Arabidopsis thaliana: one gene and its partner. The protein of the gene in region 1 binds, or shares a complex with, the protein of each later gene. Each region holds a gene or a part of one and is shown on either strand. Other genes may lie near its edges. A codon is read from its position in the direction of its gene.

Evidence for each region. Proteins that work in one complex are often made in the same cells at the same time.
Region 2: the proteins of AXR3 (region 1) and MP are in contact, whole or in part, in a crystal structure (PDB 6L5K), measured with the Arabidopsis thaliana proteins. Residues at the interface, in NP_171921.1 of Arabidopsis thaliana: Phe112 (codon at 3,346), Lys114 (codon at 3,352), Gly119 (codon at 3,367), Ala120 (codon at 3,370), Pro121 (codon at 3,373), Tyr122 (codon at 3,376), Leu123 (codon at 3,379), Arg124 (codon at 3,382), Lys125 (codon at 3,385), Phe148 (codon at 3,454), Arg205 (codon at 4,080); in NP_173414.1 of Arabidopsis thaliana: Lys842 (codon at 1,467), Val844 (codon at 1,461), Asp847 (codon at 1,452), Glu849 (codon at 1,446), Asp851 (codon at 1,440), Val852 (codon at 1,437), Leu853 (codon at 1,434), Leu854 (codon at 1,431), Asp857 (codon at 1,422), Asp858 (codon at 1,419), Pro859 (codon at 1,416), Val878 (codon at 1,263), Met881 (codon at 1,254), Ser882 (codon at 1,251), Glu883 (codon at 1,248).

Annotation. Positions count from the first base shown.
Region 1 is NC_003070.9:1,133,683-1,139,478, forward strand, and holds AXR3 (AUX/IAA transcriptional regulator family protein), read left to right. Parts: upstream 1-2,395; 5' UTR 2,396-2,699; coding exon 2,700-2,938; intron 2,939-3,251; coding exon 3,252-3,463; intron 3,464-3,777; coding exon 3,778-3,916; intron 3,917-4,057; coding exon 4,058-4,119; intron 4,120-4,620; coding exon 4,621-4,658; 3' UTR 4,659-4,981; downstream 4,982-5,796. UniProt on the Arabidopsis thaliana protein: Aux/IAA proteins are short-lived transcriptional factors that function as repressors of early auxin response genes at low auxin concentrations.
Region 2 is NC_003070.9:6,884,397-6,892,367, reverse strand, and holds MP (Transcriptional factor B3 family protein / auxin-responsive factor AUX/IAA-like protein), read right to left. Parts: upstream 5,700-7,971; 5' UTR 5,016-5,699; coding exon 4,883-5,015; intron 4,733-4,882; coding exon 4,617-4,732; intron 4,509-4,616; coding exon 4,410-4,508; intron 4,320-4,409; coding exon 4,263-4,319; intron 4,175-4,262; coding exon 4,019-4,174; intron 3,940-4,018; coding exon 3,855-3,939; intron 3,779-3,854; coding exon 3,688-3,778; intron 3,592-3,687; coding exon 3,427-3,591; intron 3,345-3,426; coding exon 3,222-3,344; intron 3,137-3,221; coding exon 2,925-3,136; intron 2,846-2,924; coding exon 1,692-2,845; intron 1,600-1,691; coding exon 1,409-1,599; intron 1,313-1,408; coding exon 1,186-1,312; 3' UTR 964-1,185; downstream 1-963. Other genes in the region: AT1G19860 (Zinc finger C-x8-C-x5-C-x3-H type family protein), read left to right, coding at 1-714. UniProt on the Arabidopsis thaliana protein: Auxin response factors (ARFs) are transcriptional factors that bind specifically to the DNA sequence 5'-TGTCTC-3' found in the auxin-responsive promoter elements (AuxREs). Seems to act as transcriptional activator.

The sequences.
Region 1 (5,796 bases):
TATATAAGACTGTAGAGCAAGTGTTGACGTAAAGTAATTTGTTTGAGTCTCAAAAGAGTTGTTGCTTTCACATACAATCACATTTTACATTTTAGTCAATGTAAACTTATTATTTGGTTGTGGATCGTTTCAATTGCATGCATGCAGCAATGCATGTCATTTGGCTGCATTCCTTAAATGCGAGAAGTATATTCCAACAACTAATGTAAATGAGAAAACTATAAAAAAAAAATTGAAGATGGACACAAATGAACCAGTACTATTGATTTATTTTTCTGTGTGGTAGAATGTTGAGAGTTGTGGCCTTGTATTGTCCACATGAAAGTACACCTGGTCCTCACACGTTCTTATCTTGCAAGTTCATAATTAACACACATATATACCTTTGAAAATAACTCATTAATTTCGACACCATGCATATAAAATACATGATTAGACCTATATATAATTTTCCCAAAAAATGAAAAATATATATAATCAAGTGAAAAAGCATTACCAAAATTACACATCAAATTAAGATGGTCTCTATCGTGTGACAAAGAAAATGTGGTCTCCATATGTATCCTTGAGAATACTGATGATATATGGATTTGGTTGCATTGGTTCAATCTCATTAAAGTTTCGCATACAATCCATTTATGTGTGCGGGCGCATTTTTTTGTAATCATGTAGGCTGGACCGAGAATTTATATTATTCACTGGTTTACAATTTCATGTGAATTCCATAGTGATCAGTAGATATATATATTGATCAGACAAAGTAGATACACATTGATAAAACACGACAAAATGATGTGATATATAAGACAAAGTGACCCAAAATTCGATTGAAAAATTTGGGGTACGTTGATTTGAAAACTCATGAGAGTTTTTTGGGATAGAAACAAAAGGAGAGAAAAGGGTTAAAGAGGAGGATGTAGACAAGGCAAGGAACAAAAGTAGGGTTTAAGATGTTTTCGCCCCTGAATTTTATTTGATGTAACTTGTCCCTTTATCATCTCCATGTTTTTCTTCTTCTCATTAATTTAAATTTTGGCTTTGGAATTTATGGTGATGTTAATTGTACCCTCTCTTCCTTTGGATTTTGATGCCACTCATGTCCCCTCTCATAGATTTTATTAGGGTAGGAATATGCCTTTTTCCCTCTTTATTTTCATATTTATTGAATTTACGTTGGTTAATTATGGTTAGTACGCTTGGTGTTATTTAAACGTCCCGTATTCACAGTTTACGCCTAACTGATTACTTTGAACTAAAACCAGTGTCTAGTAGATCACTAAAGTCGAATTTTGAACGAAAGTTTGAAAATTCGCAAAAGCGCCGTGAAAATACAATTCCAAAACATATCATTTTTGTTTTTGGAAGCGTGATTGATGAAATAAAAACAAAATATGTTTTGGAAGTGCGACAGAATTTGTTTTTTTGTTTAGAAATGCGATAATATAGACAAATTAATAGAAAATGTAATACAAATTTAGGTGCTTTCATAACTACAAAAAAAAAAAAAAACTACCCTATTGTTGAAAACTTTCATACTACAAGAATAACACAAGCAATATAAAAGAAGAAAAATAATTTTCAATAATCAAAAACAGACATTATATTTTAGTAGTCAATTTAATCTGTAAATATCTGTAAAGAAAATTAATCACCAATTTTATTGTTAACTACAAAGTGGTGTTTATAATATTGCAATTTATAGTTTGTTAACTACAAAGTATAAACATTAAAGAGTAATGATGCGTTTTTATGTGTCTAGATACACATTTCGCTGTACGTGTTTATAGGTGAGTTTTTAATCAATAAATATTGAAGATGTACCGTATGCTTTATTTTGTATTGGCATGAGAATAATTATATACAAGAGGGCTGCGCTTTTATTGTGGGATGAATAATTGAATCATGTGGATGTGATATGCATAATTGGAAGGTTCCGGCGAAGAATCTTACGGGGAAAAATAATCAAAATCATGAATATATATTCATTAGTTAATAATTATATTTAGAAGTCAAAAAGCATAATATAGTTATATTAATAATAATGTACATCTCTATTGTAACACTCTCATATGAGATGTCTGCGACCTCGCCACTCAAAAGAATATATATTTATAAACTATACGTTGATATAGTTTTTAAGACCATATGGTATATACATATATTTAGTTAGATACCCCATATCAATTAATCGGTTCATCACCACTTAATTCACTTGGTTGCTTCGAATGTGTTTCATAATTCACTTGTAATTTTAAAATCTTTCCTTCACTTGTGCTTTCGCTTGTAATCTCAAAATGTTATATATCTCTTTTAACGGGAGAAAAACGATTAAAGACGGATTAAAATATATATCCATTTTGTATAGTCAAATGCAATAATATATACATAATCTACAAGATAAATCATAAGAAAGATTCAATAACAGTAATAGAGTAATAACAGTGATTACTGATTAGTCTAAAAGACTAAAACTCGAGGATGATGACTTAATCAAAGGGCTTAGATTCATCCACGTGTCTAAAACCCGTTTAATCAAAGATCTCTTAAATACGACATACACATGCAGCTACCTCCTAGACAGAGATATAATACAGACTCATCTCACTTTGTATTATTTGAGTGTTTTTATAAAACCATTTTTCCATCTTCCTCATCACCTTCCCAAGAAGAAGAACACCAAAGAAGAAGAAAGGTTAATAATGATGGGCAGTGTCGAGCTGAATCTGAGGGAGACTGAGCTGTGTCTTGGTCTTCCCGGTGGAGATACAGTGGCTCCGGTAACCGGAAACAAGAGAGGGTTCTCAGAGACGGTTGATCTGAAGCTAAATCTGAATAATGAGCCTGCAAACAAGGAAGGATCTACGACTCATGACGTCGTGACTTTTGATTCCAAGGAGAAGAGTGCTTGTCCTAAAGATCCAGCCAAACCTCCGGCCAAGTAATTTTACTATTTTGTCCTTTATGATTTATTTTCCACTCTTCTCTACTGCTCTTAATATTAACATTTTTGTAAAGGTGACTGCAAAAAAAAACAGAAATTTCATTAAAGATATATATTTTTCTTCGCCAAAACCATTTTATCATATGTCTACGGTTTTTTTCTCTTCTTAAATCGTCCAATGTCTTAATATATTTAATTATGTTTAACCCATAGTCTCATGCAAGTAAAATTTATGTGACATCACGTCAAAGCTAACTACAGTCTATATCTTGTATAACATAACCGTTTTTCCGTTTTAAAAAAAATATAGGGCACAAGTTGTGGGATGGCCACCGGTGAGATCATACCGGAAGAACGTGATGGTTTCCTGCCAAAAATCAAGCGGTGGCCCGGAGGCGGCGGCGTTCGTGAAGGTATCAATGGACGGAGCACCGTACTTGAGGAAAATCGATTTGAGGATGTATAAAAGCTACGATGAGCTTTCTAATGCTTTGTCCAACATGTTCAGCTCTTTTACCATGGGTACGTTTTATAAGTATATTCCTTATATATATATGTAGATCCTTCCATGCACATTTAGTTACTAATTAATTGTTACTATAGAAAGAAAAATTAATCATCATGATGATAGATCAGTCCCAAATGAATTACCGTTATCGAGTATACAAATATTTCATAATTGAGTAACCCGTTAGTAGTAGTTTAGAAACTGTGAAAAGAAAACTATGTGATAAAATCCAATTGCGAAAAATGTATATTTCATTTGTTGCACCATAAAAGAAAACCACCAAGTTTAAATTCAGGATATCAAGTTCTTATACCTAAGATTATTTTAGGCAAACATGGAGGAGAAGAAGGAATGATAGACTTCATGAATGAGAGGAAATTGATGGATTTGGTGAATAGCTGGGACTATGTTCCCTCTTATGAAGACAAAGACGGTGATTGGATGCTCGTCGGCGACGTTCCTTGGCCGTACGTCTTCTTCTTCTCCCTTATTAATTACCATTTAATTAGAGCTTTATTGTTTCGGTTAAAATTCGAGCTTTATTTTTGTTTATGTCATTTATTTGTTTCTAATAAATAACCATTTGTTTTAATCTTTTTATTTATTAGAATGTTCGTCGATACATGCAAGCGTTTACGTCTCATGAAAGGATCGGATGCCATTGGTCTCGGTATGTATTTTCTACCAATGCATATTATATTCACATTGATTAAATTTTGATTTCAGTTTGTTACCCATTTAAATTAAAATTTACGTGTATATGTATACAATATAGTTAAAATAGCTTACAAAAGAGATTTGCCCCAAAAAGAAAAAAAAAACTTACAAAAGAGCTTAAAAGTTTACTATAATGTACACCTCAACCGCATAACTTGGTCGCCTAAATAATTTAATATGCTATCGTTTAAGATGATGTCTAATCATCAAACGCTTAAACCGTTCATTATTTTTCGCACAATTATATTTCTACCGTAAAGAACAAATTTGTCGAAAGAAAACTTATCGCTTTGATCTTTTAAATCATTGATATAATACATGATATTTGATTCTCTTTTGTCAAATGCAAAAAAAGAAAGAGATTAAATAACAGAGGGAATAAAAAATATACTCTTTTAACAGAATAAATACCGTGGTCAAATGTCTTTGCTTATTAATTGTAAAAATATTTCAGCTCCGAGGGCGATGGAGAAGTGCAAGAGCAGAGCTTGAAGTCAAATTAAAAGGATAAGTGGTATCGATTATATATTTGATTAACACATTGATTGGTGTTAATTGCTCTTTTTTTTCTTACGATGAAATACATTGTTCAGTTTCTTTTGATTGTCTGTGTTTTGATCTGGATTTGGTATGTAGATATAGTTTGTATGCTATTATGTGTAATGAACTTAAGTTAAATATTTGAGACATTTGTAATGGAAAATGTGTAATAATTTGAACATCCTATTCCTATGTATATGTTTGTCTTTATTTATTTATTTTGCCAAAGATGTGTATATTCGTATAAGGAATATGTGATTTTTATTCCACTATGGAAAATTTAATCTCACATTACTTCTCTTTAATTTCAGTCTCTTAATAGTCAGTTATTTTCTAAAGGCAGAACAGTATTCTTTTGGTTCGTCTTGAAAGTGAAACTAAAGATCATAGCGATCGAGTATTTGACCCTAAAGTAAACTTTCCCCAAGTATAATTTCGAAGTCGGTATAATTAGAATTACAATATTACAATATACATATGTTATATCAGATGAATATAATTACAAAAATGGGGAAAATTCACTTTGTTGGTATATTGATTTGTTGGTACTTAAAGTGATAATTGGCTTTGGTTGGAGGAAATAAAATAGAGAAATAGGACCCATAGGGAAGAGAGGGAGCAATGCCATGTGCATATTCATGGGTCTCTTCATTTCATTACCTTTGTTTATCATTTAATTTCCCATTAAATTAATTAGGAATATTAACTTTTATACCAACTAAATTTATTAACAAGGTTATCATAATTATACACAAATATCCTCTCTATAATGAAAAATGAAAAACCACTAGAAATATGGAATTACGTTGTATCCTTTATCACTTTCAGAAATGAGCTACAAGTAATTTATTATTGTCAAGAGATTGCACATGTGTAAAACTTGAAGGTAAAAGACATATATATGCAATAAAATATAGATATATATATATATATATATCGATGACATAATAGATATAGTATAATAACATATAGGGCCCTTTTGGATTAATGGTGTTTACTGGTTATAATGGAGCTATTCTAAGCAGTCCTTATTTAATTTGATGTTTAACGTTAAAAAAAAGTTTAAGAATAAAATATATAGATAAAATAA
Region 2 (7,971 bases), 5.8 Mb from region 1:
TCAATAACCGATGAGAACACATCAACTTCTTCAACCCTCCCTGCAGGGCCAGATATAATGGCTGCGTTATCTGCAATCTCAAACAGCAAAGAACAAGGCAGTATGATCGACCAAGATCTGCTTATTAAAATCCTAAGCAACCCTAAGTTGGTCGAGAATCTTGTTGCAAATCGTGGCAGTGCAGGTTCAGTCTCCTCCAACACAAGTAGCCTCTACTCATCTTCAACACATGAAGCCAACGGAGTAGTAACCACGGCACCTATTTCCTCAAATGGACAATTTTACGCTCAGCCACCCATAACTCATATTCCTCCCATGGCGTATACTCCTCACGCTCCTCAAGACCAACCGAACTATGGAGCACCGCCAGCAAGAGATGCTAGTTATTACAAGAACCTGATTCAGCAACATGGCGGGGATAGACAAGAGACGCCGCCAGTTCAACATCTCGGTTATCGATACAACCTCCAACCTGGAGGAGGACCTAACCCGGAGATGGTAAATAGCAGTAATAATAACCAGAGGCCAAGGGATTCAAAACCCAAGATAATGAAGGCTTGCATGTACTTCAACAGCGCAAGGGGTTGTCGCCATGGAGCTAATTGTATGTACCAGCACGATGCTACACCCTACCAGCCGAGGAATCTAAACAATGGTAATATCAACACTTCTGATATGCAGAATGCAAAAAGAATGAGATTTGACAGAGACTGATGCAGAATTAGCATACCACACATGCTCTCTGCCTCTTGCTGTTAGCAGCAGAGCAATTTTTCTATTTTCTCTTGCCTGGCTTTACTGCAATATAAGTTTTATATACATTTGAAATTATTTCTTGGTTTTATGCCACAAATGTAGAATTAATTAGCGAGTATTATTTGGCTCACCATCACAGTAGTACTTATACTATCCCTAGTGTTTTTAAGATGATTTTCTACACTTTTATCTTTAACATTGTGCAGAAAAAAGAGTAAAATAATCACAAGATTTCTAAGACTGTCTCAACTACTGATTCATTCATCACTCTACTACATAATATGAATATAGTTTCAGGTCTCAAATCGGAACAACACATCAAATGCTTACAACAAGATGGTTTCTCCTCTACCAGTTGGAGAAAAGAACATTTCTTACTCTCTTTTTTTTCTTACAAATCAGCATGAGATCATTTTTATATTGTTACATTTATGAAACAGAAGTCTTAAGATCGTTAATGCCTGCGCTGTTCAAAAGCTTCATCCCTTCTTCACTCATCTGCTGGACCTCAGTTGGCGACAATATCCTTATGCACCTTACGCATCCCACAAACTCTCTGCACCAGTTTATGTAGTTATGTAAGGAAAACTATTGTAAGACTGATAGTCAGATGAAGTTAATGGATTCACAGAACAGTGAGAGAGAGACTTACTCCCATGGATCATCTCCTACAAGCAGAACATCACTCTCATAATCAACATATACAAGCTTCCAACCCGAGCTTTGTGGGTGAGTTAGTAGTCCTTCCAATCCAAACATGCATTCGATAGCAGATTTTAGCTCCTCGTAGTCTTTAAAGCTTGTGACATCAATTGATCTCCCGACTGACCCGGTTTTTTGAACCTGCCAAGTCAAAACATTACCCAAACCCCAAAGTTTCATGTCAGATTGTGACACAAGAAATTTGTGGAATGAATGAGAGATAATCTTTTTACCTTAGTGTAGGTTCGGACGCGGGGTGTCGCAATTTTCTGCCATGATGAGCCTTTACTATTTTGCCGCAGACTACAATCATCAAAATCAACATTGCTTGAAGATGTACCAGTGCCTCCAGAATTATCTGGAAAATCTTGGCGAGAGAAGGCCTGTGAGTCTGCAAAGCTAGCTGATGTGATCTGCGACTGGACATCTTGAGCAAAGCTAGTGTTGTTGTTTCCAACCAAACAACCAGAAGGGTGGTTCTGGAAATCAGTGTCTTTGATGGCACAGAAGTCATCAAGGACTGTGTTTGAGAGTGGAGGATCTAGAATGTTACTGGTTGTGCTATTACTCATACAGATATTCTGACTAGCATAAAGGTCCTGCTGCATCAAGGGACTGAACTGGTCAAACTTGAGACCGTTCAACTGAGTGTCCCACACATCATGAAACAGCGGTGAGTTTGTGGAATCCGGTAACACAACAGCTGAAGAATCCTGGGAGGATAGAATGAATGGTTGCTTGTATGATCCGGCAAGAGACTGGAAGGAAGAGACTTGTGATGTCAGCTCATCAGTTTCCAGGAAAGAGAATCCATTTATTGGATCAGACTGTGGTTGGTAAATCTGATGAGTAATGTCAAGACATTGATCAGCTTGTACAGGCGACGAAGCACCCGGTTTCTGAAGTAGCTGATTAACCTTTTCCTCATTACACACTGTGGATGTAGTAACCTGGCTTGCCTGTTCCATTGACTGCTCAAGTCCATGTTGGACTCTACCAGAGCTGCAACCAGAGAGTGTAGAGTTCTCAGGTTTAGCAGGAGCACTCATACTCTGTGAAAGATTCTGTTCTTGGCCACTCGTATTAGAAGCAGATGGGTTCACTGTTAGCTTGTTTTGTGGCTGCACCATCTCAGATTTCTGGTTCATCATCAGGGGTTGCTGCATCTTCATATCTCCTAGCAAACCTCCATTCCCCATTACAATATTCTGCTGCATCTCAGACATGAAAGATGGTACATTTTGGTTGTTGTGAGGCCTCATCATCATTTTCATAAGCTGCTCCGAAGCCATACTAGGGAAAGATGCATATGGCATAATCCCATTCGCGGAATCAGGAACACGTATAAGTGGCCGTTTTATCAAGCTACCCCATTCAGTTTCACCAGCTGCATATTTCATAACAAAACTTTAAGGCAGCAAATCTCATGTAAAGTTCACAACAAGGCACACTTATATTTTACTCACCAAAGTAAGATGGATGGAGCTGACGTTTGAGTCCTGAGGTCAGAGAAGGAAAAATGAAGAGACTTTCAGGTGTTTCGATATCCCATGGACTGACCCGAGTAGGTTTATCATTACATCCAGGCTCATCCCATTCTACCTGAAGGTTACGCCACTTAGAACCAGGCCATCTCAACGGATCCAAATCGCTGATTCCAACAATAGTTCCCATGTACCTAAATACACAACCAAAACGTGTATAAGTGAACAACCAAATTTGATAAACAAAAACAGAAAGATTGCAGTTTACGGATAACTTACCTTCGTTTCCCGGAATCTTCAGTTTCAAACATCATTCCAAATCTCATACCAACTGAGAGCTGAGACCCGCATATCGCCTTACGGTACTTAGCTAGAGGGATCACGAACTCTGCTGGACAAGCTCTGAGAACAAACACCATAAGTTACGTTACAACTAAGAAAATAGTTTTATATCATTGAGGATTGAAGAAGCTTTTGAGCTAACCTTGGATTATAGAATATCAAAAAAGGAGTACGGTTGGCGGTTGCGTGAGCAGCAGCAGCAAGAACACCGATGTGCATACTATCCGCTGAGAGAACTGATGAAGGAAGTGCTGTTTGTTGGCGATTGGCACGCCTAACACCGACCATAAGTTGTGACTTCTCATCCCTTTTGGCACATTTTCAAAGGACAAATGACAGTCAGAAGATAAGCAACACCAAAATGAGTCAGAGCCAAAATATCTCAATAGCCAAGGTTTTTCACCTGATGAACAAAACAGAATCCCCAGCTCTCAATCTCTTCGATCCAACGAACAAACTCCATCCTGTAGTTAGGAGATGTCTCTTTGGTTGCCCTGAGAATGTAAGCAGGAACTGAGCTCAATACCAACTCAATCTAAACAGAGAAAGAGACAAATCTAGTGGTTATACCTCGGTAGATATGGCGAAATGTCCAAGTATTCTCATGAAGATCTCGAACTACAAGCTCTTGCGTTGGCGGCTGTGCTGAGTAGTCCTGCAATGTATTTAACATAACATTAGCAGGCTAGCAGCAGTTAAAGCAATAGGAACATATGAGGAAAAGAGAAGCTCACCAATGGTGGAAATAGCTTCTCTGCAGCTCTACGTGGCACTGAGAAACCTCCATGTGTGCTTGTGTCACTTGCAGTAAGTGTTTTGCAGAAAAACTCAGTCGGGTGCTTACTTCCTCTCAGCATTCCAAAGTCTGGTACAGGGAACACATCTCTCTCCTGATGCACACAAACCATTCAAACTCATTCAACTTCAACATGAGTTCTTAAATGAAACAAAAGGAAGTTGCAAGAATCCAAAACTTACAGAGTGAACAGGTTGAAGACTCATCTGAGCATAGATTTCGTCACTGTCTTTGTCAGCCTATCAAAGGGGAACAAAACCATTGTCAAGAAATATCAAACTTGGTTGCAATTTGTTTGGATACGAAGCAAATGAGAAAGATTGGCGTACATGAAGAGTAACATTATGGACTTGACACATCAACTGAGATGGAAGGTTCGGATAATTAGGAACTTGTGTTGTTGCTGATCTTCTGGTTGAAACAGCAACCTAATAAGTCAAAAAGTGAACAAAAAAAATCAAACCTTTTGAACAGGAGCTAACAAGATCTAGAGAAGTACAATGTGTTTGTTTGTTCTTTAAGACACACAAAGTTACCTGCTCGCTATGACCTTGTGAGAAGTAATACACTAAGCTCCCAACTTGAGGGAGACACACCAAAGGGCCTGCACAAGCGTGCCATAGCTCCGAGTTTATTACCGGCTTTCTTGTACCTGAAAAATGTTCAAAATCGCATTTTTAGGGGAAAGTAACAAAATTTCTAAATGTCATTAGCATAAATTATGAAACCTTTTGTTATCACAGTTTATTCTTAAAAAGGTAACTTTTTTAATAAAAATCTTGAGAAAGAAGAAGATGAAAACCTGACTGGTCTTTCAACAGCTTCATCTCTTCAAGCAAGGTAGATTGAGATGTTGTTGTTGTTATAGTTCCTCCACCATTAACCAAACAACTTGTTTTCATCTTGTCTTCAACACAAGACAATGAAGCCATCATACAGAGAGATTTTTCAATGTTCTGTTTTGTCTCTCCCACACTCAACACTAACTAGGCTTTAGCAAGACTCAAGAGTTTTTCTTTTTCTTTACTAAGTCTTCATTTTATTTTATTTAATACAAGAAGAGACAAAAAGAGCTCTATTGAGCAAAGAGGCTACAAGAAGATAAATCCAGGACAAACCAGAGGAATTAAAGACAAAGCCATTTCATGGAATCTGTTTTTTTTTGGTTAAAGAAGACTCCAAAATCGAAGGACAAAACCCTTACACATGACAAAAACAGAGTGGGAGAGATTAAAGAACATACAAAATAGGGACTACACAGACAAGCATGTCTCTCTTGTGGGGCTCTTGCCTCTTCTCTTTCTCTCTCTCCACTCTTCTTTTCTCAGACCAAATTCGACCCTTCAATGAAGAAGAGAAACCAAAGGTGCCATCATGAAACCACACAGTTTCTTTCTTTGGTTCCGGATGCAAACAAGAACAAGAAGCAATTGAGAGAGAGACAAAAGCTTTTAAGAAAAAAAAAACTTTTGCTTTCTTTTAATTATTTCTCTGAAAAATCCCACATTTTTTCTTCTTCTCTCTCTAATGTATATGAGTATTAGTATAAATGTGTATGTATAGGTTTTATTTTGCTTGGAAATGGGAAAGAGTGTGCATGCTCTTATCCTGCGCTTAAAACTTTCTGTATATGGCGATGCCGTTGCAGCTTTAGACTCTTTAAACGAATAATATTATATTTTATTGTTTCCCATTAATTATAAAATAAAGTTTTGGTATTTCAATAGATACATCTATATTATTATTTAATGTTTTAGAACAGTTTACGTCAAAAATTTAATAAAGTAGAGTAAGCACACGTAATCTCTGATACGCACAGAAACGTAGTTGAATGTACAAGTACTTTCAATGCTTATGTTATAAGGCAGATAATAAAGCTTAAAATAAGTACCATGAGTGAATATTATTTTAAAAAGTGTCCTACTTTTTCAAGAACTTTGTAAAATATAAAATGTTTTTTGATTATGGCAATAAATTAAAATTGATTAAGAACTTTATGACAAAGGAGGAGGCTTCTTTTTTCGTTGCAATAATATATACTTTTCTCAAAATGTTAATCTTTTCTTGCTGAGATTTCGTAAAAGGGATGTGAGTGGTGAGACTTTGGGAGATCTCTAATACAAGGTGCGTATGATAGGAGAGAATGTCAAAATAGCGTATATTAGCACGAAGCCTAAAGAGGTTACGGGAGGAAGTGTATCTTCCAATCTTTTTTGCCCGGGTGTTCTTTTCCTTTCCAAGTTAAGGACTTCAAAAATGTTTTCTTTCTTTGGTTAGAAAAAGTTATTTTGATATTTGCAAGATTTGGTATAGAGATTAAAAAAGATTTAAGTATGGTTTAGTTAAAACTTAAAAGTTATAAGGTGGTATTGTTTATATATACTTAAGAGTTAAGACCACCTCCAAATAAATTGAAAGGACTGTTGTTTGTGGTTCTTGCATTTGTATTGAAATTGAGCTTTGTAAAATATATTTGTATCTACAACAACCAAAAGAAAGGAATATCTTGGTTCTCTGCACCTGTAAACATAGCTTGTTCTGCTCATTATTAATATCTAATACTCTAAACCACATGTGTAATTATGTCTAATTGTGTATAGTGTGTACCATTACATCTTTAGACCTTTTTAGTTACATACATTTTTTTTTTTTACGCACACATCTCTAGTTTGACCTTTCCATTGTTTTCTTGCGACGAAATAATTGACATGCGGTCATTGTATTATATTGTATGATATGAAACCATATCACTTTCCATATCATTACTTATCAATCATACGTAAATAAAAATCGCTTTCCTTCATGTAATATTACTCATAAACAAAATACAAATGAGCATAGTTAAGTTATATATAGGATTAGTACACAATCCACATTATCACATATTAGAGAAAAATAATCAAACATATTATAATTTATAAGTGGATATATAGTAGCATCATTATGATAGAATATCTATATAAACATAACTACTTATTCGGATACGCGTTTGTCACTAAGATATATTTGAATCAAAGGATCTCCAATCAAGTATATAATGTGTGGAATTTGCTGTTGGCAGCACATTTTAATATACAGTTCAAATTTAGCAAGGAGTGAAACATGCTTTTGATGATAATGGAAAAACTCTCATTTCCGGTGCCAAGATTGTGTGCCATCAGCAAAATCTTTGGAACAAATAGTCATTACGTATAACGAGGAATAACATCCCACGATGAGGTTTACTAGATATAATTTTATCATTCTTATCAATTGTTTTCTCTTGTATCGTTTTTTTTTTTCTCTACTGTATATCATTTGTGACAATGCCTTCAATAATCCTAAATTCATAAAAATAAAAACTCTTACCATACCAAATTTTAACCACATGCAAAGAAAAGGATACCAATCAAAATCAAGTGTATGCAGATTATCAATCCGAATCCTTCCTAAACGTTAGTTTGTCTTATGTAGATTGGAAACTTGTAAAAAAACAAGAATAAGAAATGAAGAAAGAAAAAAAGAAAGTGAAAAGCATTATTTGGTGCTTTTGCGTCTGAAAATTTTGACCGCTAGGCACGCGTGAAGTGGACGGCAAATCAATGGTTGAGTAAGAGAGGAAGAGGAGGCGTACATTAGCATACTCGACACGTGTATTTTAATGTTATTTTGAAAATGATTTTTGGACCGACACGGCGCCGTTTCTGCGCTTCACAGTTCACATCCTTACCTACCTCTCTCTCCTGCCAAACTAACAAAGCAAAGACCGATTCCTATTAATCCCATAAGAAAACAGTTTCATTATAATTTTACTTACTGCCACTAGATTTACTTTCTTAAATCATCACAAAAAGTATACTTCCATATTGGTGTAACATAATATAGTACAAATCTTATAAATCGTAGTAATTG